Mus musculus: one gene and its partners. The protein of the gene in region 3 purifies or fractionates together with the protein of the main gene of each other region. This does not show direct contact. Links are inferred from orthologs where the notes say so. Each region holds a gene or a part of one and is shown on either strand. Other genes may lie near its edges.

Region 1 (3,500 bases), on a different chromosome or scaffold from region 3:
GCAGGACATTTTCTTAAATTAGAGACTGATGGGAGGGCCAGCAGAATGAGCTGGTGGTCCTGAGTTCTATAAGAAACAGGCTGAGGAAGCCATGAAAAGCAAGCCAGTAAGCAGCAGTCACTTTTTTCTGAGACAAGGTTTCTCTGCGTAGCCCAGGCTATCCTAGAAGTCATACTGTGTAGATCAGGCCTACCCCTGTCTTCTGAGTGCCAGCACTCACTCACTCACTTCTGCACTCACTCACTCACTTCTCCACAGCCTTTCTATCAGTCTTGCTTCCAAGTTTCAGCCCTGCTTGAGTTCCTGCCCTGACTTCCTTCAGTGATGGGCTACAATATGGAAATGTAGGAAAAAAAACCCTTTCTTCCTTAACTTGTTTTTGGTCATGGTGTTTCATCATAGCAACAATAACACAAGCTTAGGACACTCCAAGTTGCTTTTGGCCACTGTGTTTTATCAGAATAATAGAAACCCTAGGATCTCACCTCACTCACTTAAAATTCTCATGACTCCCTATTTTCCAAACTGTCAGCCCATTTTGAAAAAGCCCATTCAAGGAAGGACACCCCTCTTGAAAAATCCCTGTCATCTACCTCCCAGCCCACAGAGTGCCCCACCTACCACCCACCACCCACCACAGCTCACAGGCCTCTGGTCACTGGGATGCTACACGTGAGCAAATCAAGTCGGCTCATCCAGAGGAACTTCTGAGGACAGGCCAGGAAGACTACTTACGGCTGAGACTGGGTCCGAATGGGCAGGCAAAGTCTTGAGGCACTTCCCTGTCTTCACGTCCCATATCCTCACACTTTCATCAAACTAAAGGTGAGACAGGACATTAAAGTGATTCTACAGGAACAGGAGCAGCAACAGTGTGATCTCAGACCCAGAACCTGTCCCCACATAAAAGCCAAACTGCCTACCCCAACCAAGCACAATATGACACTGTACACATCACCCTTGGAGGAGAAACCACGCACTTACAGACCCTGAGACGATGAGGTTGGACTGGGGGTTGAAGTTGCAGCAGAAGACGTAGTTACTGTGGCCCTTCAGGGTCTTCAGACACTTCCCCTAGAGCACACATAGCATACCAAGGTCTGTGACTTCCAGGGGCTGAATCTCCAAATACAAGCTTCTTGTACATTTGAAGACCTACCCAAGACCAACCATCTACACAGCCAACTCATCTCAACTATGGGCACTCCCTGGAAGACCAGTGTCACTTACGGAACTCACGTCCCAAATCTTCAAAGTTTTATCATCAGAGGCAGACACAAGGAGGTTAGAATCTGATGACCACGCTACATCAGATATTCCCTTGGGAAGGGAAAAAAAAAACAGTTGGTTTTGAGGGACAAAAATCCAAATGACCAGTAAAAGATCAACCCTACTAACCTATACACCATGCTGTCAGGAAATCCAGCCAGTGTTAGCACCACAAAACACCTGGCCCAGAGGAAAAGGCCAGTACTTTCAGCTCTACCAAACTTCTTAGACTCACTCCCCTGTGGAGGCTCAAAGTGCTTGTGCTTGCACTAAAAATATAAGCAAGCCAGGTATGGTAGAGCAAGCCCGATTCTTAGGCAGGAGGATTGCAGTTCCAGACCAAATTGGACTACTTGGTAAGGCCCTGCACCCACTACACTTAAAAACAGTCCTGACAAGCCCAAGTGGTGGTGGTGCACACCTTTTAATCCCTGCACTAGACAGTTGGATGCAAAGGCAGCCAGATCTCCATTTGGATCTCCAAGTTGAAGGCCAGCCTGAGTACAGCAAGGGCACCCAGCCACCCTGCTCAACACCTAGTGCACCTAATGGGAAACTTACCAGTTTGTGACCAGATATAGTTTTCTCAAACTTTCCATCATATGCTCCCCAAATTTTAATGAGTTTATCAGCAGCTGAAAGGAATGAAAGGGAGCTGAAGTCAGAGAAGGCTGTGGCTGTACAGTCACCCAAAGGAAGGAGGCCTGAGTCACTCAATGAACTAAGTATGGACACACAGAAGTACACCCTTCACTGCAGAGGGGCAATAGCATGTGAACAGGCAATTACTTCAGTTCCATACAAACATGCTGAATGCTAACCAACCCAGAGACCAGTAACAACTAACACAGTCCAGCCTCCTCATCCTCCTTCCTCCAACAAAGTTCAGACGCCTCTCCAAAGGACTGAAGGATACTCACATGAACTTGCCAACCATTCCCCATTGGGGCTGAACTTCACAGAGGACACAGCTTTGGTGTGGCCAGCCAGGGTGAACTTCAGGGCATAGTTTGGCTTAACTGGTGTGGGCTGGAGGAAACAGTACAGATTAGCCAGAGGCAACTACCACCACCCAATCAACCCACTTGATTCCCAAAGTGTAATCAAGCACTAGCTGGTTCCAAACTCATACACAAGAACTTACTATAACCTTATCTGATGTCCCCCTTTAAACTGCCAGTGTGAGCCTAGCACCTCTCTTGAAAGCCCCGACTTTCCCTGAAGTACCTTAGCACACCAAGAATTTGTAATTTTTTTTGGTATGGTGGTGCATGTCTTTAATCCCAGGAAGGGAGAGGGAGGCAGAGGCAGTTGAGTCTCTATGAGTTCAATACTAGCCTAGTCTACATGTCGAGTTCCTCACCAGCCAGGGACTATAGGGGAAACCCTGCCTCAAAACAAACTGTACTTTTTGATAAATACCCTCACCTCCATCTTAGGTCTGGGACTCCCTGGTGTGGCACCTGACTGCTCTGTGTGACCACTGTTGTGTGCTCAGAAATACTGGCAGCATACCTCACTGGGCAGAGAAGCCTAGATTAATAAAATAATGTCCCTGAGAATCTCTCCAGCCTGTGGGACATACCTTGCTCTGTGTGGCTGATGAGGAAGGAGTGGGCTGTGCTCTTGCAGCCTCTGTCTCTGGCTTCTTCTCCTCTGTGGCCATGGCTCTGAAGCCCACAGGGCAGGACACCGTGAAGGGGGAGTCACAATGGAAGAGGCTGTCAGCTGAACTCTATAGTAAGGGGCCTATAAACAAATCCTCTCTTTAACAAAGGTTGTTGGAGAAATAGTTCAGTAGCTAAGCTCGCCAAATGCAGTTCCAGAAGACCTAAGTTTGATTCCCACTTGTGAGCTTACAACTATCTGTGAGTCCAGCTCAGAGGATCTGGCATCCTCTTCTGGCCTCTGTAGGGACTGCATGCACATGGCACACAGACTTACATGCAGAGAGGGAAAACAAAAGTTAAATAAAATTTGCCCTGATGTGGTGGCGCACGCCTTTAATCCCAGCACTTGGGAGGCAGAGGCAGGCAGACTTCTGAGTTCCAGGCCAGCCTGATCTACATAGTGAGTTCCAGGACAGTCAGAGCTACACAGAGAAACACTGTCTCGAAAAAAAAAAACAAAAACAAAATAAATAAATAAACAAACAAACAAACAATGATTCTGGGGCTGGAGAGATGGCTCAGTGGATAAGAGCACTGACTGTTCTACCAGAGGTCCTGAGT
Region 2 (4,217 bases), about 60 Mb from region 3:
GAGAGTTCTTGTTCGTGTGAGGCAGAATCTCATGCTGTAGCCCAGGCTGGAACTCATTCTATATCCCAGGCTGGCTTAAAATTCAGGGAAGACTCCTGCCAAAGCCTCAGAAGCCCTGGGCTTACATACTGGGCCACAAGCCTGGACTCTGTGTTGTGTATGTTAAGGCAGGGTCTCAGTAAATTGCTCGAACGTTTGATCCTCCTACCTCAGCCTCCCCAGTAACTGGGTTTACCGACCAGAACCACCAAGCCTAGTTGCATCCTGCAAACTCTACAAGTTCCTAAACAGCTGTGTCATATATCGTTTAAAAATCAGGTAACTAGAAGGTAGAGAGATAGCTCAGTGGGTAAAGGCACTGAGGTCAAACCTGATGACCCTAAATTCAATCCCCAGACCCATGTGTTTGAGAGAGAGAACTGAATCCAAGTGGTTCTTATGACCTTCACATGTGAGCCATCACATACACGTGACCACACAACACTCACACACACATACATACATACATACACACATACATACATACACACACACACACACACACACACACACACACACACACGTTAAGTAAATGTAATTAAAAAAATCAATTAAATAGGCTGAGGTTGAAGCTCCATGGCAGAGGGGTTGCACAGCATGCGAGGGCCCTGGGTTCGAATCCTAGCACAGTCAAAAGTTAAATGCACATAAACACACCCAAAAAAGTAATAATCTGTGTTTCAAGTATTTTAACATTTCTCATAAACTTTGAGGTTCCAGGGATAGGGCTCAGCCCTGAAGGAAACAAAAAGATCTGGCAGCACCGGGCAGCACCGATCACTCTCAGGTAGCAAGCAGCAGGGGCAGGTGGCTACGGACTTTTTAGAAGGGGTGTACATCCTCACCTCTTCCTTCCACCCTTGACTAGCTGTTACCTGGTCCTCACGGGTAATGAGGACCTCACTCCATTCTCTTTCCCTACCATTTCCAACCATCAAATATTCCATCTCTCTCTCTCTCCTCTGGTTGTATTCTGAGTCTATTCCTTCTCTCCTCTCTCTCTCTAATCTATGCCTATTTACTCCTAAGTCTCAGACTCCAGACAAGAAAGCATGGGGTCAACCCAAAGCCAGAAACACCTACAAAAAAACCCCATTAATATAAAAAAATCTAATAAGTTACTGATAACATTATATGGATGCATCCATCACCTTTCAGCAAAGCTGTCTCTAACAGTGCCACTCTTCAACATTTTTTTTCTTCTCAAATGGAAAGTCAAGACCACAAAAAGCTGTGCCACTTTCAATATTTAACTTCTAGCGCCTCTCTTTTTTCCATTGTCGTTTTTTGGGGAATATCATGCTTTTCTAGATCCTAGGAGTCTGCAGTAGTCACATGACCTTGGCTAAAGGCGATTATTACATGTGCCTGCAACTTCACACAACTATGGAGATACTGCTTAAAGTTTACCTGCTCCTAAATAAAACCTAGCCAGTTTGCTCTGAAATAACACTACCATTCACTTCAGAATGCCCTTCCATTTCTCACATATCTCCGCCGCACTGAACACTACAGAACAACTCAGTTCACAGCACAGGCCTCCTCACTTGCCTGCCTACCTACCTACCTACTCACTAGAATCTACCACCTGAATATCAAGAATCATGTGGATTTGCAACGCCCCCCTCCTCCAACCCCAACAGACTCAACCTCACCTTAGCGGTTAAGAGGAGTTTACAAGAGTATTAAAAGTAATAGAACGATCTCTTTTTCTGACTCCAAAAAGAACCAAAACTGAACGGAAATGAAAATGAAATGGAGAGTAGGAGACGTACCGCAGATTGAAACCTCGGTTGCTCTTCCTGGAATAAGAGAGAGAGAAAAATAGAAAATACAGAAGTTATTTTCACACTTCGAATTCAATAATAAGAAAGAAAATGCCGGCGGCGGAGGAAGCAGCGGGTGGGGAGTCAGTCTGACACCCCTCCCTCCCTCTTTCCCCTTCCACTCTCTCCAGCGAGATCCCGTAGCCTAGTTGGGGGGGGGGGGGGGGGGGGTTTCAGGCACTGCCCCTCCTTCTGGGATCCGAACCGGACAAGAGGGATCCGGAACACTGCCTGCTCTCCCTCGATCCCTCTAGGGCGTCAGAGCACTCCCAGCCCCTTCACCCCAAGGATCAACCGGTCACAGGAGGAGGGAGCTCATGGACCCAAAGAGCAAGAGCTGAGCGCTGGTCTCCTTGCCCAGGATCCGGAAGGATAATGGGATCCCCAGCCGGGCAGAGCGGAGAGGGAGGCCTCGACACCCTCCTCCACGGGAGAATGTGGGGGTCCCAGAGGCCGCGTGTCTGCTCCCACCTTCAGTCCCAGGAGGCCTCTCCGGACAGGACTGGAGGGGAGCGAGCCTGGAGCGCGACGCAGGCGGTCCCGGCCCCGGGGGGAGGGGGAGAAAAGGACGGAGGCGGCGGCGACCCGACCCCCTCCCGCCGTCGCCCGGCTGAGAACCCTTGCCGCTGTCCCCGCCTGACAACCCGAACGGAAAGGAAGAAGCCCCAGGACTCACGTCGCTCTCCACCTCGATGTCATCGTTATCGCTCATTTCCTACGGCCCAGGGAGCGGCCACTGCAGCGGCGGCCGGGGAGGGGAGGGGTGGAGGGAAGGGGGAAGTCACCGACAACAACAAGCCGAGTGCCCCCACGCACACACTCACTCACTCGCTCACTCACTCACACACACTCACGCACACACAACACGGGCGACAACCACCTCACTGCAGCACCGGATCAACGGCGGCACGCACGCCCGATCGGCCCCCTAACACGTGACCGGGCTCACCGCGCCGGGGTAGCTGAGACTTGTAGTCCTCGAGCGTCGGATGGGCGAGTGAGAGAGAGCCAGAGAAACTACAAATCCCATCAGGAACCGCACACAGGCTTCGCCAGACTCGCTTGTTGACAGAGCTCAGGGCGCCTGCGCCCCGGGTGTTGGCAGCGAGAAGTGGCGCGGTGCCTCCCGGGAGATGTAGTCCACAGACCGCGAGTTGTCAGGAGATTTTCCTCCCCAGGCGGCGGAGAGGCTGCTGGGAAGACAGGACACGTGGAGGGAGCTGGGCTCCTGGAGCCGGCCACAATTCCGAGCTCTGGGCGCCCGGCCCAAGGGATTGGGTGGAGGCTCGGGGGTTTGGGGGCGGGGGGAGAGAAACTGGCTGCCAAAATAACACTGTCTCTTCTTGGCTAGACTGCTTTTACATTGTCTCGTTTAATGCTTGAGTCGCTCCACTTGCGCCCTGGGGCGTAACCCTCCCGGGAAGGAATCACGCTGTGGCTGACCAGGGGGCGCGGTCGAGATGCCCACGCGGGCCCTCTGTTATCTGGGTTTAAGGTGTTAAGAGACATTACGGGACAAACTAAAGGACCGATTTCGCCGGGTGTCCTTCATCTCAAGAATCTTGCTTTCATTTGTCCGAGAGAACTGTCCTTGCTGGGCTTGAGTGTTTACAAAACCTCTCGTAGGTGCAAGTAAAACCTACCTTCTGTTTGTTGTAGCCGGAGCAGATTAGGGAGTGCCCCAGTTTATAGAGAACTTTAATTAACTGCAAAAAGAATCAAAACGGGAAAGTTGTGCAGCTCCCTGTCCAGTTAAGGTCATACATAATGCAACGAGGTATGAAGTGTAACTACATTGTCCCCACCCGCATTTAGCTAAGTATCTAATATGTGGCAGCCCAGGAATGGCATGATGTGTCCCCTCAAAGACTTCACAGCTTTGAAAGCAAAAACCGGACTACCCTGTCACCATTTTCAGTGTGCACCAGGTCCTCAATGAAACAACAAACAAACAAACAAACAAACAAACAGTAATAATAAGGTCATCTGAGAAATTAACCAGACTACCACTTTACAATTGATCTTCAAAATGAGTGCGGTCTTGAGTTTGATTTATGAGTTAATGTTTTTTGAGTAAAAAATCATTTAACCCCTGACTATTGAGTGCAGAAACTTGGTGGTGTAATACAATCTTTCTGACACCTAGCCCAGGCTGGCCTTAAATGTCCGTGTGGCCAAGCCTAGTGATGAGAACACAGTCATAAGCAGACACTGACTCGTAATAGAAGTCAAGGGCTGTAAGGGAGACAAAGATGGTAAGAGGGTTTTTTGTTTGTTTGTTTGGTTGGTTGGTTGGTTTTTCGAGACAGGGTTTCTCTGTGTAGCCCTGGCTGTCCTGGAACTCACTCTGTA
Region 3 (4,161 bases):
ATCCAGGTTAGCCTGGGACTTGCTATATAGCCTAGTTAGGCCTTTCACTCACCATCCTTCTGTCTCTGCCTCCCAAGGACTGGCATTACAGAACTGGGCCACCACACCTGGCTAGAAGCTTTAAAGGTGGAGAGAAAAATAAAAAGTGACTTTTAGAGACTAATGTCCTAGGCACTGCCTCCTAAGTAGTTACTGCTCTCTATGCATAGGTTTCTCTGTATTAGCTCCCTGTGTGGGAGCAAGACTCCTTCAAGAGCTCATTGAACACGAATCTCTCTAAGGTGACTGCATTCATGTCACCACCCAGATCTTCCTGATCATCTAATGTGCAAACCAAGTTCACCTCCATCCAGGATTGTCTTCTCCCTGCTCCCCAAAGCCAAGAGCAGGTTTAAGCCATTTAACTTATCCTGGCAACAACACTTAGCAAGCTATGTAACTGCTCTGCACATGGCTTATTAATTCTTTGCATTTGCTAGTCAATTAAAAAAATACTACTGACATGTTAAGTCACTATTTTACAGGCAAGAAAATAGAGTCCCTACTTTATTAACTTCTTGCTTAATCCTTTGTCCATGGCCAGATCTTCACTACAGTATCAAACAGACCCGCAGAGGACTGAGCAGTCAAGTATAGAATTGCTCTGGGACACACAGAGTCTGGCTAACAGTCTTGAGGTAAAGAGGAGCTAAAGACACTTGTCTTAAGACAAGTTACCCATGAATCTGGACTTCAGACATCTTGACAAACGTCAATATGGAAATGAGGCCTAGGATGGAGCATGCAACCTCAGAAAGATCATTTAGGAAAGGCAAACATGGAGCCAGATTATGCTGCGAGGACTCGACTTTGTCCTGGGAGCACTAAGGAACCACTAATTCCTTTGGCCAAATGAAGATAGAAACACACCTTCAAGAGACCATACGTTAAGGATGAAGCACACAGGCGGTGAGTGAGAGGCAGCAACAGTGGCAGGAAACTGGTCGAGATGGCATTATAGCACAGAATAGCTGATGTGAATGACTTCAGTGACCTGGGGGTGGGAGGGGGGGTGTCTGGGGGTGATTCTGAAACAGAGGAAAAGGTAACAGCCATGTCCAGAGTGCTGGCTCAGGCACCACGATAGGCAGAGCACCATTAAGGTGGGATTCGAGAAAGAGGTTGCTTTCTTAAGGCGGGGGTGGGGTGGGGTGTGTCTGTGAATCTGGCTTTGGATATCAGAGTTTGAAATCTGCAGCTCAGCAGTTATAAACGCTCGCTGTTCTTCCAGAGGGCTCAGTTCATCCATGTGCCAATTCATAACCACTTATTATGAGCTCCAGGTGATCTAACACTGGTTTCGGGCCTCCGTGGGCACCAGTACACACGTGGCATCCACGAAGACATTTTCTTTTTTAAGAAGGGACATCTAACAAACAGTTGGAGAGCTCCAGGAAAGATGTACAGGTTTGGGAGTTACCTCGAGGCAACTAAAAATACCAGACTGGATAAGAAATCTAAGACTTTAGAAGACGTTATCTTCTGATAACCAAAAGTTAAGCGGTTTTCATTTAGAGCGTCTATCAAATCCTTAAAAAAAAAAAAAAACCTACCATGATCACAGGCCACAAGTTAGCAGTAGTGAGCGGTCACCTACATGAACAAACTGTAGAGAATCCTGGATGACACCCACGTGTCTGAAAAGGAAGGCGAAGGGGACAAGGGGACCCACCATGGCTGTCAAAAACACAACAAAGAGTTCTCAGCCAAAAGTGAGTGGTTAGTTATGACACAAGATAGGGTGTGAAACGAATACTGTAATTGACAAAACCATCAGTGACCTACGGATCTTATTTACAACAATCTTACCAAGTGCTTAGGACTAGAGTCCCCAGCACAGTGCTGGGTGGTAATGCAAGATCAGGTGGAAACTGAGCAGAAATTACTTAAAGAGAGAGAGAGAGAGAGAGAGAGAGGGAGAGAGAGAGAGAAGTTTGGGAAAGGCTGTCACTTGCAGTCATTCTGAGGGTCTTCCCAGTTTCCTCATTACCTAGCCCCAAGGCCAGACATCTCTGTACACACATCTCTGGGTCAGTTCTGACAAACTCTAAAAATAACTATCTCAAGGTTGCTCCAAGGAGTCAGACAAGACAATGCTCATGGCACAGGACCCGCCAGAATGGCTTGGATACAGCTTGCCTTGCTGAGAAAACAGCGATCAGGAGAAACGGACAAAGGAAGAATCCAGCAGGGACCCTGAGAAAGGTGGGAAGCACGGAACGGAGGGAACTTTCTCACTCTTTCATTTCCCCTGTCAGACAGCAAAGATGGACAGGCAAGATCGCCCAGTTGGTTAAGGCACTTGCCACCGAGCTTTACAAACTCTACCAGAGTTCCATCCCGCGAACCACAAGGCTGGAAGCATGGAACAGACTGCCCCAAGTTGCCTTCTAAACTCTACACGTGCCCCGTGGAATCCACGCGCTCGCGGCCCCCACCCCAACACAAAGTAAGAAAAATCCAATAGAAACATTTAAAAAGCAAAGGGCGGTTCAAGAATTGGGAGTTGCAGGGAGAGCCCCGGGGCAGCAAGCGACACTGTGCAGAGGGCCCGATGCAAGGAGCGCGTCCCACAGCACTTGACCTCCCGTGGCCCGGGTCCCCGCTCACCAGTAGGTTTTCCACGTTGATGGGGTCTCGGCAACGCCGGCGCACCGTTTCCTGCGCCGGGTCCACCAGCAGGCTGGGCTGTCTCCGCGCCGTCCGCTGCTGACTCATGCTGTCCCGCGCCCCTCGCGCCCCACGCGCCCTCCCGCCTTCCCCGGAGGCTCGGCGCGCGCGTTCCCGGCCCCTTCAGCGCCGCCCGCTCCACCCACGGAGCACTGCGGCTCCACCCACGAAGCGCCGCGGTCCCACTCGCGCAGCGATGAGCCCAGGCGCAGAGGGGGTCAGGGTAGGCTCGGAGGGGACCAGGGTGACCGCGGAGGCGCTCAGGTTCCCTGGCCGGCCATCTTTCCGCATGCGCAGTGCACCCGCGTTTGCACATGCGCAGCGCCGTCCGTTAGATCTCCCGCGCACACCGGTCCTCGCCCGCTGCCGACGCCCGGGTGTTCCGGAGGATGGATCCTTGGAGAGGATGGCGGCGGCGGGGGGTGGGGGTGTGTGTGGTGGGATGGGTTGGGGGAAGAAAAGAGGTGGAGCAGGGATTCCGGGGGATCGGAGCAGGCGCTCTCTAGTCCCAACCAGCGGACTGCAGGTTCTGAGTGCCCCGGGGCGATGATGGTGGGGCTCCCATCAGTCATCTAAAGGTGCTTAGCACATGCTCATGAAACAAGCCATCTTGGAGGGACCAGAAGGTGCAAGCTTCAAAGCCAAGCTCCACAGAGGCCCAGGCAGGGAGATCACGTGTTTGAATTCGAAGTCAGCTAAAGTTCGTAGTGAGAGTAGAATTTGTCCCAAAACCACAAACTTTACCCTCTATATCAGTTTTATTTTATTTTATTTTTGGTTTGGTTTTCCGAGACAGGGTTTCTCTGTGTAGCCGAACTCAGAAATCCGCCTGCCTCTGCCTCCCAAGTGGGATTAAAGGCGTGTACCACCACTGCCCGGCTCTGTATCAGTTTTTGATTACTTATTATTATATCAGGTATTGGGCTGGCTCAAGAAGATACTGTTTTGAATATAATAGACTGGATATCAGAATCCAATGGAGGAGAAAGATAAAACAGTTTAACGGGCTGGGAGAGGAGCACTGGCTAAGTTTAGGAGAACTTCCAGAGGACCTGAGTTCAATTCCCATCACCCACAGGGTGGCTCACAACCATATGTTACCTCCAGGCCCAGGGGGATTTAATGCTCTTTTTCTGGTCTCCACAGGCACCAGGCACGGACATGTTAACATGTTAGACAGTCATACATGTAGGCAAAACTTCTATGCACAGAAACTAAATTAGAAAGAGAAAAGAAAAGAGAAGTAAGTGACCTGGAGCCATAGGTATCTTTTCAAATTGTAAGGTCTTAAGCCAGTTTCTAAAAGTCGTTCTGTGCCTTAGTTTCTAAATTTGTAATGTGGAGAGTTCTTACTGATCGAAGTTACTAGCTTGTTCTCTCAAAAACCTGTCTCTGTAAAATTGCCCCAGTAAACTGCCACCTCCCTTTCTTAAGTAGCTTCTTTCCTGCCCT
Region 4 (4,199 bases), on a different chromosome or scaffold from region 3:
CATCCTATCTGCCAACAGGCACATCAACTGGGGGAACAATGTCCCCCGACCACTCAACTCTTGCCTTCCATCTGTGTCCCAGTCCTTCACCTGGTTTCCTGTCACTCCTAAGAGGAAACACTGTGCATGTAACCAGCATCTACTTATTAACAAGGCCATGTTCTACTGATCCATCCAAACACTGTGCATGTAACCAGCATCTACTTATTAACAAGACCATGTTCTACTGATCCATCCAAACACAGATCTCGGGGCGGGGGGGGGGGGGGGGAGGGGGGGAGCAAAGGGAAATGTAACAGACAACAGAGAAGTTACAACTCCTGCCATTCACTTAGGGGTAAAGTCAAAGGAGACAATTCAGAGAGAGAGAGAGGAAGAAGCTCAGAGGGACACCGTTCTGAGCACCTACTTTTAGGAACACGGTGTCCCTTAGACTTCTGGTGAGGGGCCCAGAGCCTCTTCAGTTTCAATCCAAATGACAATGCTTCTCTGAGTCCTCCTCAAGTAATGTTTCCACCACTAAAAATTGGATCTACTGGTTAAAAACAAAAACAAAAACAAAAACAAAAAGCCAGGGGCCTGCAGGTGGGTCTCAGGCCTCTCTAAAGCAGGCCCACTTCTGTTGTGGGCCAGCTCCCCTGTGTGCTACAATCCTCCTTCTTCCAGGAGTCAGGGACTCAGCCTGGTGCTTCTCTTCTGAGTGTCACCACCTACTCTACTTCTCGGGGCTCCTCTAACCCCAAGACTGGCTGTGGAGTAGGACACACCAGCTTGCCCCCATCCTTGCTGTCCCTGCAAATAAACAAATAGGCTCTTCTAATCCAGTGTTCGTCTAAAAGTATGAGAGGATACAAGTAAAAACAAAAGCAAAAAAAAAAAAAAAAAAAAAAAAAACCCAAGTCAAATGATCTCCATATTGCTCATTTACAAATACACATATATTATACACTAAGCCGTTTCCATCCTTATATAGACATATACACCGTGCTTTCCAAAACACTTAAAACGTGAGTCCAGAAATAGCAAGTAGTTTCTCTTTTTAGAATCTTTCCTTGAACTTAAAAGGGATTTAAAACCTTGCTTTTTAATAGACACCAAGAAATACTAAAAATATTGTATTCAATGTAAATGAGAATTCGTAGTAAAAACCTATTGAGATTTATGACAGGTATGTCAAAAACAACCAGTATTGTAGAAACAATAAAATCCTGACATGTCTCTACACTTACAATGTTAGTAAAATTCTATAAACTGAGTTTTTAAAAAAAAAACAGGATACATCATTTTTAGAAATAACTTTGACTATTTAGAATGTCAAAATTATACAGGCCCTCTGTTTCAAACAGAAAATTCCCCGTATTCTGTAATCATTTGTATTTGAATAGGCTTCATAGCAGCAAAATAAATGCCTTACTTAAATATTGCTACAAATCACTGTAGAAGTGGATTTAAAGGCGGCCTTCCCAAGGGAACTATGACCAAGTGGAGACAGATCAAGAATGCTACTGAGTTCGAATTTCCTAAATTTAACTCTTTTAAATGGTTTTTTTTTTTTTTTTTGGAAAGACAATTATAATACTATATGCCTACCATACAACAAATCCAGGGCCGGCAACAGACAAAGATCATGTCATCTCGTTTGTGTAAAAATATCCAGGCACTGGAGTAAAACTGCGTTGCTGGGTTCACCTCCCAACCAACTACTTAACTGTAAAAAATTATTACAGAAATAGAACAACAACAAAAAAAAACCCAGACGCGAAACCTTGGCCTGACCCTTTCCGGACATCCGTTACTAAGAAAGTTTAATCCATTACGATCCTACAAGCGATACTTTTTCCCCAGGGGGACCGAGTGACATCGCGGCCTTTCCTCCGTCCCCTCCCCCGCCCCGGCTCCCCGTCCCCGCCCCCTCCCCGCACACTAACACCACAATGCGACCAGCGATCACGGTCTCTGCGCCCGGCTGGGGAGGGGGCACCGCACCGGCCACGCATGGAACGGCACGGCACGGCAGCGGCCGGCGACCCCCATGGATAATTCATCCTCCGCAGCAGGCGCCACCGCCGCCGCCACCGAGCCCTCGCCGCCAGCCGCGGCTCAGCCGGGTCGCGCCCCACCGCGGCCGCCGCCTGGCTGGCCGCCCCGCCGTCCCGCGTCGCGCGGGGGGCCCCGCGGGGGATCCACGGGCGCGCCGGACTCACCGGGTGGAGGTGCCCTTCCGCACATCGCACATCATGCACTTGAAGGCCTCGGCGCTGTTCCGGAAGGTGCAGACACTGCAGTCCCAGTAGCCCTCATCCGAGGCGGGCTTCGGCTGCCGCTTCGGCCTGCAGGACACAACCGGACACGACGCAGCGCGGGGTCAGCCGCAGGCCGCGCCCGGCCCCGCGCCCCGCCCCGCCCGGCCCGCGACCCCCGCCCCGCCCGGCGCCGCGCGGGGGAGGGGAGCGCGGCCGCTGACCCCGGCCGCCATCGCGGCCCATTGTGGGCAGCCGCGCGCCCCGCCGCGCCGCGCCGCACCCCCTCTCCCCACACACACGCGCGCGCCCCGCGCCGCGCCGCTCCACGCCACGCCACGGGACCCCGGGCCGCGGGCGCTCCGCCGGCGGGCGCCCTACCTGGTGGGGCTCTTCTTGTCGCCCATGCTCGCTGCCGACGCGCGCCGGTCTGTCAGCGCCGGGGTGAGGGGCCGGCGGAAGCGCGGAGGCGAGGGGGCGGGGAAGGCCGCGCCGCGAGCTGCAGCCGCCGCCGCCGCCGTCGCCGCCGCCGCTGCCGCCGCCGCCGCCGGATCCCACGCAGCCTCCAGCTGTCGGGGAAACTCCTGCCTGCGCGCACGTGACCCGCGCCGGCCAACCAGCGGCCGCGCCGGAGACTTCAAACGCGGGGAGCGCGGCCCAGCACCGGCGGCGAGTTCGCGGCGCCGCCTCCCTCCAGCTCGCCCGCCCGCTGGCTGCCCCGGAGCGCTCCGGCCGTGGCTCGCACGCCCCGAAGGGCGCGATGGCAGGCGCCCGCAGACACGCGTGCGCCCGGCGCGGCGGGGACTGTCATCCTTCCTTCTGGGGAAGCGACCCAGAGGCTCGGGAGAGGTTCGGTGCCCTGCTCTAGCTTACATAATTCAAACGTGACGAAACCAGGGTCTGATCCGGTTTTAATTGCAGCGGCGTCCTCCTGGCCTCACGGGGCTCTGCAGTGGCTTGTTATAAAACGGACGCTCGTGAGCCTACGTAAGGCAGACGAGGTTGCTTGTGCCCTGGACACCACCTCCCCGAGTCTCCTTACTCCAGCCTGTCGGGGATACACACCTCGCCTGCTAGACCCAAACAGCCATCTCGCTGGTCCTTGAAGCTCTGCTTCCCACCTCGCCGATCTGGCGGGTACCCCACAACCAGAGTTAGCTTGACATCCCTCTGATCGAGGGGCGACTTTAGCATGCCAAGTCGGTGAACCGTCATCAGGAAAGCTGCCCCTGAAGAAAGGAGAGATGAAATCCATCCCTTCTCGGAGCCCTGCCTTCTTCTGCCTTATTTGGGTGTGCTGATGGAGGCGTTGTAGCCTCCGCATCAGGCTTAACTAACTGAAGGGGACCCAGTTCAGGCACTGCGTACTTAACAGTTGATCTGACTGTGTGGCTCCTGGGATACTATAAGGTTGTTTAGAAAATGTATCCAGCTGGGCCAGAGCAGGATGGAGCAAATTTTCATCATGATACTCAGAGTGAGATGGCAACTAAAAACTTGAGGAGTTAACTGTTTAGGAAGTCCTTAATATTTTGAACTATATCGTCTGTGGGTAATTGAAACAGGAAAGCAAAACTCCAGCAAAAGGGAGACTACTGTATTGATGTGTTACTTACCAAACAAGAGTTAATAACCAAACTGGAGGATGCTCTCCTTTTTATCATTGGGAATATGATATTAATTGGGGTAATTAAGAGGGAAATAGGCTTCAAGCTTCTGAGAAAAGAAAGTCAAAATGAATTATAGCAGAACGGGTGGGAGTATACAGCTCAGAGATGGAGCACTTGCACAAGGCACTGAGTTACTAGAAATTTGGAAAAGCATTTAAAAGATTGTTTTATGTGGGGTTTGCTTGGGTGCTTAGTATTACTTTATTTTTGCAGAATAGAGAGTCTGACTTAGTTGAGTGTAAAAGTTATATATTAGAGGTTGCGTTAATTTTCCAAGATAAAAGAGGCT
Region 5 (3,500 bases), on a different chromosome or scaffold from region 3:
CTCTCTTGCCCCCAAATTCTCCTAGTTCTAGCCTTTTTTTTAAAATAAATTATCTTTTTATTTTTTCACAAATAAAAATGACTAGTGACATGTAAAGAACATGACAGTAATACAATAGTAACAGTAATGGACGAGCTATCTCATAGAGACAGAAGTCCACTAAAATAGTATACTGATTTTAAGAAAGACTGTTAAATCTTGGAATAGTATATTTTAACTAAATCAACAAATCAAGGTTGAGCACATGTCAAAACATCATCTAGAACCCATAAAGTGATATTAAAAGAAAAGAAAAATCTGGAATTCCGCACACAGGGCTCTTGATTGAAATCAGGGAGGCTCAAATCTGTTTATCTTATTAAACACTTATGGGTACAGCTAGGTTTTTCTAAATGTTTCATTAGTAATGCTGAGTCTTGTAAGCCTGGTTCCATAATAGTCTATAATGTAACTACTTCCATCTGAAGGTCCAACAATCTGCATTGAAATAAGAATGAAATCAATTAGGCTCCCAATTCCGCAAAATCCTACGGTGCAAAAATTTAACAAGCGTAAGGCAGGATATCCGAGGTAAAATCGATCTGCTCCCAGCCATCCCAAAAAGAGAGATAATGCAACTGCCACTTTGTACGAATAGCCATTCACATTTCGGCAAGTTATGGGCTTGAGAAAACCGACTTCACTTCCAGTAAAATGTGTTTCATTACCACTCAAATCCTTTATAAGTTATTTTGGGTGCTGGAAAACATTGAACATGAGCTGTGTAGTTTGTACAATTAACTGGTTCTTGCGTAGCATCATTTATTTTTGGTTCTTTTTACAAATATATTGTCCCACCCTGAGGTCCTCACACCTCTCCTCGCCCCCGACAGCGCCAGAGGCAGCAGCCCCACAGTGTCCCTCGGTGACCATCACGAGCCACAGAGTGCGGAGAAGGCCCGGAGGCCCGGCTGCTGGGGAAGCCCGGCCCGCGGGCCAGGCAGCCGCCATGTTGGGCACTGCGTCCTCCCAGCCTTTTTATTGTAGGGAACTAGATCATGTTTAACGTAAGATTCAGGATGCTCCATAAAGTGCTTGCTCCGTGTGTCCGGGCCTCTTTGTGCTTCCCCAGGTCCCTGTGAACCTGTCACCTAGGGATATGGGTTGTTAGTGGTTTAGGTCAGGTCTGAGAGAGAAAGAAGATGCTTTTCCTAAAGGAGCATCAGGTTCTCATTGGCAGCAAATCAAGGATTAAGCATTGGGAAGGTCGGAGAAGCCACCCAGTAGGAAGGGACGGGGTAGGCTGTGGGTGTGCTCTGCCAGCTCTGCCAGCCCAGGTGGAATGGTATTAGGGAGGTAATGTCTGTGCTGAGTCACTGGTACAGCTGGCCAAACGACAGATACCCAGGTGCACCACAGTGTCCACACTGATAGTCAGGAGCTGGCCCTGCACTGATGAGAAGCAGGTCTGTGTCTCTGGCCCTCCCTGATGGTGCTTCCATGTTTCTGGACACTGGGCATGCCCCATTTATCTCTCTATTCCTAGTTTTCTGCACCATGCATGATGTGGGGTGAGGGTCAGAGGACAGTGGGCCCAGGCCCATGGGGCTCACTTTTCTCAGCCCACCAATGCTCTCATCATCACAGGTACCCCTCTATGACCAGTGGGAAGACGTCATGAAGGGGATGAAGGTGGAAGTGCTCAACAGCGATGCTGTGCTCCCCAGCCGGGTGTACTGGATCGCCACTGTCATCCAGGCAGCTGGTGGGTGCTGTTCTGGCCACGGCAGGGTCTGAAATTTGTTTGCCATGTGTCGTATCTAGTAGGTGGTTAGTGTTAGAGGGTGAAATGGGTTTCATAAATCAAAATGTCACCCATGAGCTTTCTCTCCCCTTCTTAGGGATGTTCCTCCTTTAGATGAGAACACAGGGCTAAATCTTGAAAGTTAGTTTTGTTTTGTTACGTATTTTAAATGTTTAGTTGGTGGTTTTGGTTTTTTTGAGACAGGGTTTCTCTGTGTAGCCCTTGCTGTCCTGAAACTCACTGTCTAGAATAGGCTGGCCTCAAACTCAGAGATCTGCCTGCCTATGCCTCCTGAGTGCTAGGATTAAAGGTGTGCACCACCACCACCTAGATTTTTTTTTTATAAGGTTTATTCTGGGGATGATGAGGGCATAGGAGCAATCGCCAGCTCAGGATGCTTTCTAAGAGTGCAGCGTGGATATTGTTTTGTTCTGTATGTCGGGGACCCCACTAGCCTGGAAGGAGTTCCTGGATAGGAAGTAGGAAGTCTGGCTGGTGCTAGAGAAGGAAGAAAGTCTGAGAACCTGCCTTCCCGATGTCACAGGTCCCATGCCTTCCCCACATCACAAGTCCCTTGTCCTTTCAGGGTACCGGGTGCTGCTCCGATATGAAGGCTTTGAAAATGACGCCAGTCATGACTTCTGGTGCAACTTGGGAACTGTGGATGTCCACCCCATTGGGTGGTGTGCCATCAACAGCAAGATCCTGGTACCTCCACGGAGTGAGTTCAGGAGAAAGCTCCCATCCTGGCTCCTGTAGGGCTCTGGGCAGAAGCCTTCCCTACCCAGTCTAGAAGTCCCTGGACAGTTTGCATTTATAGAGCCTGTTTGTTGGTATTGTGTGCCTGAGTAGTGAATGTCTGTTCACTGTGTGTGCTAGAAGGTCAGAAGAGTGTTAGATCCTCTGGAACTGGGGTTAGAGATGTTGTGAATCACCATGTGGGTGCTGGGAACAGAACCCTTGTCCTCTGGGAGAGCAGCCAGTGCATCTAACCAGGGAGTTGTCTCTCTGGCTCCCAGAGGCTGGTTTTATAAGATGATGTCATCACTGGCCTGAAGTTGCAGAACTTAATAGTTATGTCTGTGTAGCTGATCTCTGGGTTGGTGAAGGTGTGATCAGTCTGTGTCAACAGTCTCTGCCGGTGTCTCTGCAGCCATCCATGCCAAGTTTACTGACTGGAAGAGCTACCTCATGAAGCGGTTGGTGGGTTCCAGGACACTTCCTGCAGACTTCCATATCAAGGTCTGGCTGGGTTCCCAGCTCATTCCCTCCCTCCCTCCCTCCTCCCACTTCCATCGGTCAGTTTTTCCATCCTTCATATGATTCAGGCATTTGTTTTGTTTTTATGATTCTGGGGGTGGGACCTAGGGATTTCCATACACTAGCACTATGTGTACAGCCCCTCGTTCCCCATCAAAATACTCTTCTGAGACGTCTTGGGCAGCCTTCAGCCCAGTGCTGCTGCAGTTGCTGGCCACCTGCCTCCCTGCCAAGACCCTGGTACAGCATATCAACTATGTTGCTTTGTTGGCCTTTGGGATTTAACATCCCAGATTCTTGCCCTTGCATTTTCAATGTATCTGAGGTTCCCATTGCTGTGATAAAACCCTAACCACAAAGCAACCATGAGAGGAAACGGCTAATTCTGCTTATACTTCCACATCCAAGAGATCAGGGCAGGAGTTCAGGAAGGAACCCAGAGGCCTGAACTGAAGTC
Region 6 (3,500 bases), on a different chromosome or scaffold from region 3:
ACTATATTCTAAAAACCACAAAGCCTATCAACTCATCATCAAAAACATGCTTGTGATTAGTGCTTACAGAATGTATATAAATAACCCTTTAAAGAGGAAATGTAATTGTACTTCACTACATTTATTCCAATTGTTCATATGGACTCTCTTTACTTTTACTAATTGCTCAAATTTTTACCACAATGTTTACTGATTTGGTTACTGAATTTCCTTGTACCAAGATCTTTGCCTTCTTAGTCTTCTTGGCTTTCACTGACTGTGGCATACATCATCTACTCATGAACATCACCCAAGTTCTGAAACATGGTTGGTCTTTTTAAAATAAATCTAATACATTTTAAAACATATTCTTATTAGTAATTTGTAATTTCTACTTCAAAGATACTATTTTCCAGTCTATCAATGTAGCTAGTATGCAGAGATGTTTTTCTACCTTGTTGGGTAAATTTACTTTTTATTAAATGACACTTTATGCTTTTCTTCCAGTGGGGAGACAACTGAGACAGAGTATCTTTATTAACTAGCCTAGCCTTGAACTCAGCTATCCTTCCTCAGCTTCCTAAATGCTGAGGTTACTGGGAGCCAGCATGTTTAGAGAGATGTATAGTGAATACACAACAGAGGGATAGAGAGTTGACTCAGTGGATGAAGTGCTGCCATTCAAGCATTTAAGACCAGAGTTTGAGTCCTTAGAACCTACATAAAAGCTGGGTAGGAAAGACAGCCACCGGTATCAGTTCTTGAAAGGTTGAGATGGGGAATCCCTGGGGCCAGTTGCTAAACTGAGTAAGAAACCATGTCTCCATAAATAAACCAAACCAGGGTTCAGTTCCCAGCACCCACATGATGGTCCAACCATTTGTAACTCCAATTCAAGAGGATCCAATGTCTCTTATGACCTGAGAGCTCCTACATGCAGATGATACAAACATTTGGGCACACACAAACATACATGTTTAAAAAATTAAAAAACAATTTAGAGGGGATTAAAGAGTTAGTTCAATTGTAGAGGGCTTTAGTTAGCAAACATAGGGTCTTGAGTTTAGTCCTCAGTGCTGAGAAAGAGGATAAACAGCCCCCACCCACATCATGTACACACACACACACCCCCTGGAGATTTGTTGGCCAACCAATCTAGCCACATCAGTGAGCTCCAGCTTCAGTGAAAACTCTCCAAAACTTCAGAGGGCCAGTGAGATGACTCAGCACATCAGGAACCTGCCATCAAATCTGACAACACAAGTTCCAGGCCCAGGACCCACAAGGTAAAGGGAGAGAAATGACTCCTTCAAGTTGTTCTCTGTTTTCCACATTTACACACATACAAAATAAGTAAGTGTAATGTTGAAAACTTATTTTAAACAAGTGGAAAGCAAGTGAGGAAAATACATGACTTCAACCACTGACCCCTCTACATACATTCACAGAAATGAGTATATACACATATCAAAAATATACACTTATAAAAAAAATAAGATGACAAGTTTTAAGTCAACTAATACTCACTGTATTCGAGCTTCTTTCTCTTCTTTTTCTCCTTCAATTGTTCCTCATCTTCTCTGACTCCTCCTCCTTCCCTTCCTTCCTCTCCCAGCGTATCATAAAATAATGGATCTCGATTAGCAGCCTTCTTATGGAAATGCTTTGTTTTAGATCCCCCTTTAACCAACACAACTTTTCTTTTCAAACAAGTGCAACCAAACATGCAGTCTGGTCGACGGCAGTGAGCAGGTTGGCGCTTTTCCAAAGCTAGACTAGAGCACACACAACCCAGGCGACAGAAGTCATTGTTGCATGGAGGAGCTCGTTTCCTTATGATTGTGTGGATAGGTTTAGTTTTGAGAGATGCCTAAAGTTAAAGGAGAACATTAAAATTTTACTAAATCATCCCAATACTACCACCAACTTAAGAGTCACATACTCATCTACCTTCTGATTACTAGTACTAATAACACAAGACTAACACAGAATTCAAAAGTCAAACACATATAATGAGGGCTCTGCGTAAAGAAGCTGCCACTCTAATGCATTAGCAAAGGAGTCTTATTAAGAGCAAAAACACCAAATATTCTCTTCACTCAATAGAAACCACATATAATGTTCTTCTGTAGGGACTGATGAGTCTAAGGTACATAGGTCAAACAATGTCTCATACGATTTTCCTGAAGCACAAGCAAGCTCATACTGCCTAGAATAGAACATCCTAGTAATAACTCTCTGATAGCATATATGGTCCGCAAAATGCAAAATAATTACTACTATTTTACACAAAATGTCCTAAGTAAACAATAAAAATAAGAGAATCATACATGCTTGAATCTTTATAATGACTAGAAAATACAGTACAGGGAGTTGACTCAGTGGGTAAAGCACTGACGTTCAAACATTTAAGTCCAGAGTGTGGCCGGGCAGTGGTGGTGACGCCTTTAATCCCAGCACGTGGGAGGCAGAGGCAGGCTAATTATTGAGTTCGAGGCCAGACTGATCTACAGAGTGAGTTCCAGTTCCAAGACAGCCAGGGCTACACAGAGAAACCCTGTCTCAAAACAAACAAACAAACAAACAAAAACAAACAAACAAAAAAAAAACCAACAGAGTATGGATCCCAAGAACTTACATAAAAGTTGGGCAGGCAAGATCTAGGATCTCTAAGTACTTTGGGGACAGAGATGGGGATTCCTGGGGCCAGCTGGCTAGATAAATTAGCTCACTTTAAGAAGAGATCCTGCTTCCATAGATTATGGGGAGAGGGACACGTGACATGAACTTTTACCTATAAACACCGGTACACATGTATATATGATCATGCATAGAAGAAACAAACACCCATACATGTACACCCCCCCCCACACACACACACATTACAGGAAAGCATATACTGCCAACATCTCATGATCTTCAGTTCTACAATTCAGTATAGACTTTTATTTTTAATTATTGTATGTGCATGATATACAAGGGTGCATGTGCCATAACACAGAAAACAGTCAGAAGACAAGATTATGCACTGTTTCTGGGGATTAAACTCAAGTCACAAAGTTTATGCACAAAGCCTGTTTACTCACTAAGCCAGCTTGTTAACCCCATTTTTTTTAAATTTATCTGTGTCACATGTACAATGTAGGCATGTACAACTGTGTGGCTATGCCAACCCCCATGGATATACATGTGAAGTCCAGGGACCAGGGCTAGGCACGTTTATGATTTTCTACCTTTTTTTGGTTTGTCTGAGTCAGAGTCTCACCATGTAGCTTGGCTACTCTGGCATTCACTATGTAGATCAGGCTGACCTTGAACAGGCTTCTGTCTCCTGAGTACTAGGATTAAACACATATGCTAAGCCAAATGTTGTATCCTACACCCTTAACCCCAGCATTTGACAGAAGCAGCAGACAGATGTCTCTGAATTCAAGGAGAGCAAGGTCTATAGAGGGAGTTCCAGGACAACAACATAGTGAGACTGTCATAATAATAACAACAACAACAACAAAACTAAAGGC
Region 7 (4,288 bases), on a different chromosome or scaffold from region 3:
TGCTACTTAAAAATTTTTTAAAGGAATCACAAAAATAACCCCCTATCAAATGCCTAGTCCCTCTAACCATCACCAAGTGAAGGATCACGCAGGAAAAAAAAAATCACCAGCAGCACCTCAGAACCAGGATACTCAGTCCATCAGCATCCAGGGCCATACCCACACTCACAGCATCTCCACAGTTTACCAGATGATTCATGCTTATCACTGTATTGGGTCATCTAAGAGTGACCATCAGGGCTTCTGATCACAGAATCTAGTCCACTTTGCAGACCAGTTGAAGTCATGCACTATATGAGATAGAAATACCCTCTTGCTCATTTTGGTCAGAAATTCAAGGATAAAAACCCATGTTTTGTTAATGCACACCTCCATATGATTGAGATCAATGTGTCCTAATTAATGTAGAAACCACAACTGTAAATTTCACTCTTTTGACATGAATCTTTTTCTAGACAGGGTCTTGGATGCAGCCCCGACTACCCAGAATTTTGGAATCCAGGCTAGCCTCAAACTCAAGGCAATCTGCTTGCTTCAGCTTCTCACAGGCTGGATCACAAACATACACCTTCAGACCCATTTTTTTTTCCTCCCTCCGTTTTTGGTTTCTCTGTGTAGCCCTGGGTGTCCGTGGACTCGCTGTGTAGATCTATCTACCAGCCTCTGTCTTGGAGTACTGGGATTAAAGTTGTGGGCTACCACTGCCTGGCTGACCCAGTTTTATTTATTTTAAATATAACTTGACAAAAATAAATTTGTCTAACTTACTAGAAATCCCAAGAAAACTAACACTGGATTTAGCAACAGTCAGAAATCGCTGAAAAGAAACAGAATTGATCTAACAGTCTTAGATCACTCCTAGACAGTTTGTAATTCTTGCTCATGGCAACGTGAGCTCTATCTAACTCACTCTCTGTGCACTAATGAATGCTCAGTGTCTCCAGAACAGCACAGCTTCCAGGGTAATCATGCCAACCCACAAGACTTTTATAGAGCTGTCCACGACTCTTCCCCCATTCAGCTCATTAACAATATGATGGAGCTCCTGTGTGGAAATCAAGGCACACTCTGGTAGAAACTTGTTTTTTCTTTCCACTTTTCCTTGGGCTCTGAAGATTGAGCTGTTTTATAACCCACAAACATGCATTTTTTACCTCAAAAGCATCCAGCAAAAACTGTACAACGCTTTTTCAAAAAAATGTATTGTGATCCTCCTTAAGAAAAGCCTTACTTAGTGTTAATTCCTTTTTCTTTAGAATGCTGGTAAATACAAGGACTTAGGTAGGCTGGCTTCTAACAGCAATTCACCCACTTATGATGGGATTAAAGGAAGGCACAACCATGTCCACCACAGGTTCTAGCTCCCCCACCCACACGCCCAGAGAGGGTTTTTCTGTGTAGCTCTGACTATTCTGGAATTCACACTGCAGACCAGGCTGGTCTCGAACTCAGAGATCCACCACCACATGGTTTCTTAATTGTAATTTTAAAGAAAAAAAAAAATCCTTCAGTTAAGATTCTTATGTTCTAGGTTTTCACAAACTTACCAATGTAGTTTTATTGGAGGCCATTTTTTAAATTTAATCGGAGACTTGAAGAGCTATTGCAAGAAAAAAAATGTAGGACAGTTAAAATTTCATGACACACAAAAGGCAGCTACAAGTTTTGTGTGGATTTCAACATGTAAATTTCGGGTAAAAATGCAGGAAAACAGTTGAGTTCCCGTGTTATTAGTATGTTACTAATAATTTCAGTATGTTAGTGAAAATAATCTTACTAAAACACTGGTACCTCAGACAACTTTACATGGTGAGGATTGTTACTTTCCCAATCCATATAGAATTTTAACAATTTTAGTGTTTATTTTGGATGAAAGGAAATGACTATCTTTTGTTAGCAAATTACCATAAGATCTTTTTCTTTAGATTTCTGAATACTCCAAGGAGCTCATATAATTCCATCCTTATTTTTTCAGAGGCCCTCCCTGTTCAATCACGGTATAAAAAAAGGAACACATTAAGATGTCCCAGTCCTATTTTCTGGCTTTTTTTTTCCGGGGGTGGTGGTGCGGTAATCACTCTCTATAGTCCAGTCTGGGCTTCAACGCCTGGCAATCCCCAGCCTCAAGCTCCCAAGTACTGTCCTGATAAGGATAGAAGGAGTCGACCTCCTTCACGCTCCCCTCCGAGGAGGGCTCCTTCCCAGCTCCATTCCCCGGTCGGGAGCCCGTCCCCCACCCGAGAGCGCGGGCCTCGTGGTCAGCGCCTCCGCGGGGAGAAACAAAGGCGGCGGCGGGGGCTCAAGGGCACTGCGCCACGGGCCCGCGCCTCCCCCATCCGGCGGCGGCCACGTAGCCGGGAGCGCGCCGCAGCCCGGAGCCTCGGGCCTCGCAGCTGCAGAGCCTGAACCGCTCTCTCCCTGCGGGCCTGCGACGAGGCTGGGGGAGGGGAGGCCCGCGCTTTGTCTGGAGTCTCGGTAGCTGTCATCCGGCTCCCACCCTCATGCACAATTGTCCCATCTCCCCCACGCACCGGCGCGGCGCCCGCCTCAGCGAGGCCCCAGCCGGTTTCCCGCAGCCCGCGGCCCACGGGGCTCGCAGCCTCCCCGCAAGCTCGGACGCACGGAGCATCCTAAACCCCACCACACGCAAGATCGAAAAAAAGCAAAGGCACGAACTTCACCGCTCCGATGCTCAGGGCCGCGGATCCTGCAGAGTCTCCCGCCTGCGCGCTTCGGTTCAGCCACATCCGAGGGGAGGGGGCGCGGGCAGCTCCGCCGGGGGGGAGGGGGAGCACCGCCCACGCCCTGGCCGCGCGGGGCCCGCCGGGAACGCGTCCTGCGGGGGGCGGCGCGCGCAATGCTCACCGTCCGCGGCGTGGCGCCCAGGGGGTCTCCTGGCTGGGGGGAGGGGGGGGAAGGCGGGCAGGAAGGACCGCGGAGGCCTCTCTGCGTCTCGGAGCGCGCCAAAGCGGGGCTCCACCCACCTCCTTGCCCGGATCTTGAAGGCCGGGGAGATAAACAGCGGGGTTCTTTAAGCACCACCTCTCACTAGGCGCGGGATCCCAAGGCTTGTGGCATCCGGGGTGGTACTTGGACTAAAAGTCCTTCTGGGAGGGACCGAGTGAGAACCCCTTTGGGACGTGTAGAAATATTTGTGTGGTTCGAGAATATTTGTGCGGACGGGCTTGGCAAAGGCGTAGCTGCAGAGAGCACGCTTGGGTGGAGAGGGCCGCACGCCCCAGCGCCGGCCTAAGCCCCTCCCGACGGCGTTATTTCAAACTGCGCGACCGTTTCTCCGCTCCCTACGCGGAGGTGGGGGCCGGACCTAGTTCCGGACGTAGTAACACGCCGAGCGCGAGCCTTCCGCAATTCACGGAACACAGTTGCGCAAGTGATGTAAAGCAGTCCCGCTGTACCTAAAGGGGGAGTGTCACGTACTTGGCGTAAGGAGAGTGTAGGCCCTTCCCGCCATTGGCGGCGGTTAGGGCGTTTACGTAACGGCGTGACGTAAGCGGAGACGCGTTAGTGGGGGGAAGGTTCTAGAAAAGCGGCGGTCTCGGCTCCAGCGGCAGTAGCAGCGGCGCCGGTCCCGTGTGCAGGAGCTCCTTTGCGGCCCAGTTTCTTGGCCATCGCCTGCTCTCCCCACAGCGCCAGGACGAGTCCCGTGCGCGTCCGTCCGCGGAGGTCTTTCTCATCTCGCTCGGCTGCGGGAAATCGGGCTGAAGCGACTGAGTCCGCGATGGAGGTAACGGGTTTGAAATCAATGAGTTATTAAAAATGGCATGGCGAGGCCGTAGGCACCGCAATGGAAACCGGCCACCCGCCTCCGTGGTCCGGCGGAGGGGATGCGGCCACTCGAGTGGCGGTTGGCCTTGGCGAGTTTCTGAGGGGTCGTTGGAGGAGGCCTCTGATTGTCCGACCGCCTTCCCCGCCCTCAGCCGCCCGGCGCCATTTCCCTCAGTTGGGGTGGGGGATGGGAAGTGCCCGCCGCGACCGGGCTGGACCGCTAAAGTAGCGCGTGAGCGGGCCATCGCTGGCCTTTCGATGTGCGCGGGCCTAGGGGCTCGGTTGTGTTCGCGGCGGAACGTTTCTGGGGCCCCCCCGGCTTCCCGGAGCGAGTCTGCGAAGCTTCCCCTCCCCCCTCTCCCGGGAACCGGATTTGGCGGCCGCCATTTTCCCGTCTCCTTCCTCGCCACGATTTTGCTTTCAACGCTTTAGGTTTACTAGTTTGGTTTTCTTTTTTCACCACTGCGTAGACGTGTTTAGCGATTTTCCTTTCTTTTGGAAG

The links.
Region 1: the proteins of E2f6 (region 3) and Wdr5 purify together in Homo sapiens (affinity purification with mass spectrometry; 4 studies listed by BioGRID and IntAct, counting the BioPlex papers as one, with this or other methods). This does not show direct contact. The link is inferred for Mus musculus from reciprocal best matches to the Homo sapiens genes E2F6 and WDR5.
Region 2: the proteins of E2f6 (region 3) and Max purify together in Homo sapiens (affinity purification with mass spectrometry; 5 studies listed by BioGRID and IntAct, with this or other methods). This does not show direct contact. The link is inferred for Mus musculus from reciprocal best matches to the Homo sapiens genes E2F6 and MAX.
Region 4: the proteins of E2f6 (region 3) and Yaf2 purify together in Homo sapiens (affinity purification with mass spectrometry; 4 studies listed by BioGRID and IntAct, counting the BioPlex papers as one, with this or other methods). This does not show direct contact. The link is inferred for Mus musculus from reciprocal best matches to the Homo sapiens genes E2F6 and YAF2.
Region 5: the proteins of E2f6 (region 3) and L3mbtl2 purify together in Homo sapiens (affinity purification with mass spectrometry; 5 studies listed by BioGRID and IntAct, counting the BioPlex papers as one, with this or other methods). This does not show direct contact. The link is inferred for Mus musculus from reciprocal best matches to the Homo sapiens genes E2F6 and L3MBTL2.
Region 6: the proteins of E2f6 (region 3) and Mga purify together in Homo sapiens (affinity purification with mass spectrometry; 3 studies listed by BioGRID and IntAct, counting the BioPlex papers as one, with this or other methods). This does not show direct contact. The link is inferred for Mus musculus from reciprocal best matches to the Homo sapiens genes E2F6 and MGA.
Region 7: the proteins of E2f6 (region 3) and Cbx3 purify together in Homo sapiens (affinity purification with mass spectrometry; 4 studies listed by BioGRID and IntAct, with this or other methods). This does not show direct contact. The link is inferred for Mus musculus from reciprocal best matches to the Homo sapiens genes E2F6 and CBX3.

What each region holds. Positions count from the first base shown.
Region 1 is NC_000068.7:27,518,147-27,521,646, reverse strand, and holds part of Wdr5 (WD repeat-containing protein 5), read right to left. Parts: intron 3,019-3,500; 5' UTR 2,936-3,018; coding exon 2,855-2,935; intron 2,299-2,854; coding exon 2,190-2,298; intron 1,905-2,189; coding exon 1,831-1,904; intron 1,321-1,830; coding exon 1,231-1,320; intron 1,075-1,230; coding exon 985-1,074; intron 820-984; coding exon 736-819; intron 1-735.
Region 2 is NC_000078.6:76,959,449-76,963,665, forward strand, and holds the start of Max (protein max), read right to left. Parts: upstream 2,801-4,217; 5' UTR 2,578-2,800; coding exon 2,542-2,577; intron 2,532-2,541; exon of another isoform or gene 2,337-2,531; intron 1,842-2,336; coding exon of another isoform or gene 1,815-1,841; intron 1-1,814. UniProt on the Homo sapiens protein: Transcription regulator. Forms a sequence-specific DNA-binding protein complex with MYC or MAD which recognizes the core sequence 5'-CAC[GA]TG-3'. The MYC:MAX complex is a transcriptional activator, whereas the MAD:MAX complex is a repressor.
Region 3 is NC_000078.6:16,809,804-16,813,964, reverse strand, and holds the start of E2f6 (transcription factor E2F6), read right to left. Parts: upstream 2,758-4,161; coding exon 2,650-2,757; intron 1,717-2,649; exon of another isoform or gene 1,593-1,716; intron 119-1,592; coding exon of another isoform or gene 53-118; intron 34-52; exon of another isoform or gene 1-33. UniProt on the Homo sapiens protein: Inhibitor of E2F-dependent transcription. Binds DNA cooperatively with DP proteins through the E2 recognition site, 5'-TTTC[CG]CGC-3'. Has a preference for the 5'-TTTCCCGC-3' E2F recognition site.
Region 4 is NC_000081.6:93,334,136-93,338,334, forward strand, and holds the start of Yaf2 (YY1-associated factor 2), read right to left. Parts: upstream 2,801-4,199; 5' UTR 2,648-2,800; coding exon 2,622-2,647; intron 2,331-2,621; coding exon 2,205-2,330; intron 1-2,204. UniProt on the Homo sapiens protein: Binds to MYC and inhibits MYC-mediated transactivation. Also binds to MYCN and enhances MYCN-dependent transcriptional activation. Increases calpain 2-mediated proteolysis of YY1 in vitro.
Region 5 is NC_000081.6:81,673,889-81,677,388, forward strand, and holds part of L3mbtl2 (lethal(3)malignant brain tumor-like protein 2), read left to right. Parts: intron 1-43; exon of another isoform or gene 44-1,008; intron 1,009-1,626; coding exon 1,627-1,744; intron 1,745-2,369; coding exon 2,370-2,504; intron 2,505-2,936; coding exon 2,937-3,025; intron 3,026-3,500. UniProt on the Homo sapiens protein: Putative Polycomb group (PcG) protein. PcG proteins maintain the transcriptionally repressive state of genes, probably via a modification of chromatin, rendering it heritably changed in its expressibility.
Region 6 is NC_000068.7:119,924,728-119,928,227, reverse strand, and holds part of Mga (MAX gene-associated protein), read right to left. Parts: intron 1,850-3,500; coding exon 1,507-1,849; intron 1-1,506. UniProt on the Homo sapiens protein: Functions as a dual-specificity transcription factor, regulating the expression of both MAX-network and T-box family target genes. Functions as a repressor or an activator.
Region 7 is NC_000072.6:51,469,128-51,473,415, reverse strand, and holds the start of Cbx3 (chromobox protein homolog 3), read right to left. Parts: upstream 2,801-4,288; 5' UTR 2,677-2,800; intron 2,165-2,676; exon of another isoform or gene 1,906-2,164; intron 1,601-1,905; 5' UTR 1,572-1,600; coding exon 1,548-1,571; intron 1-1,547. Other genes in the region: Hnrnpa2b1 (heterogeneous nuclear ribonucleoproteins A2/B1), read left to right, coding at 3,740-3,745.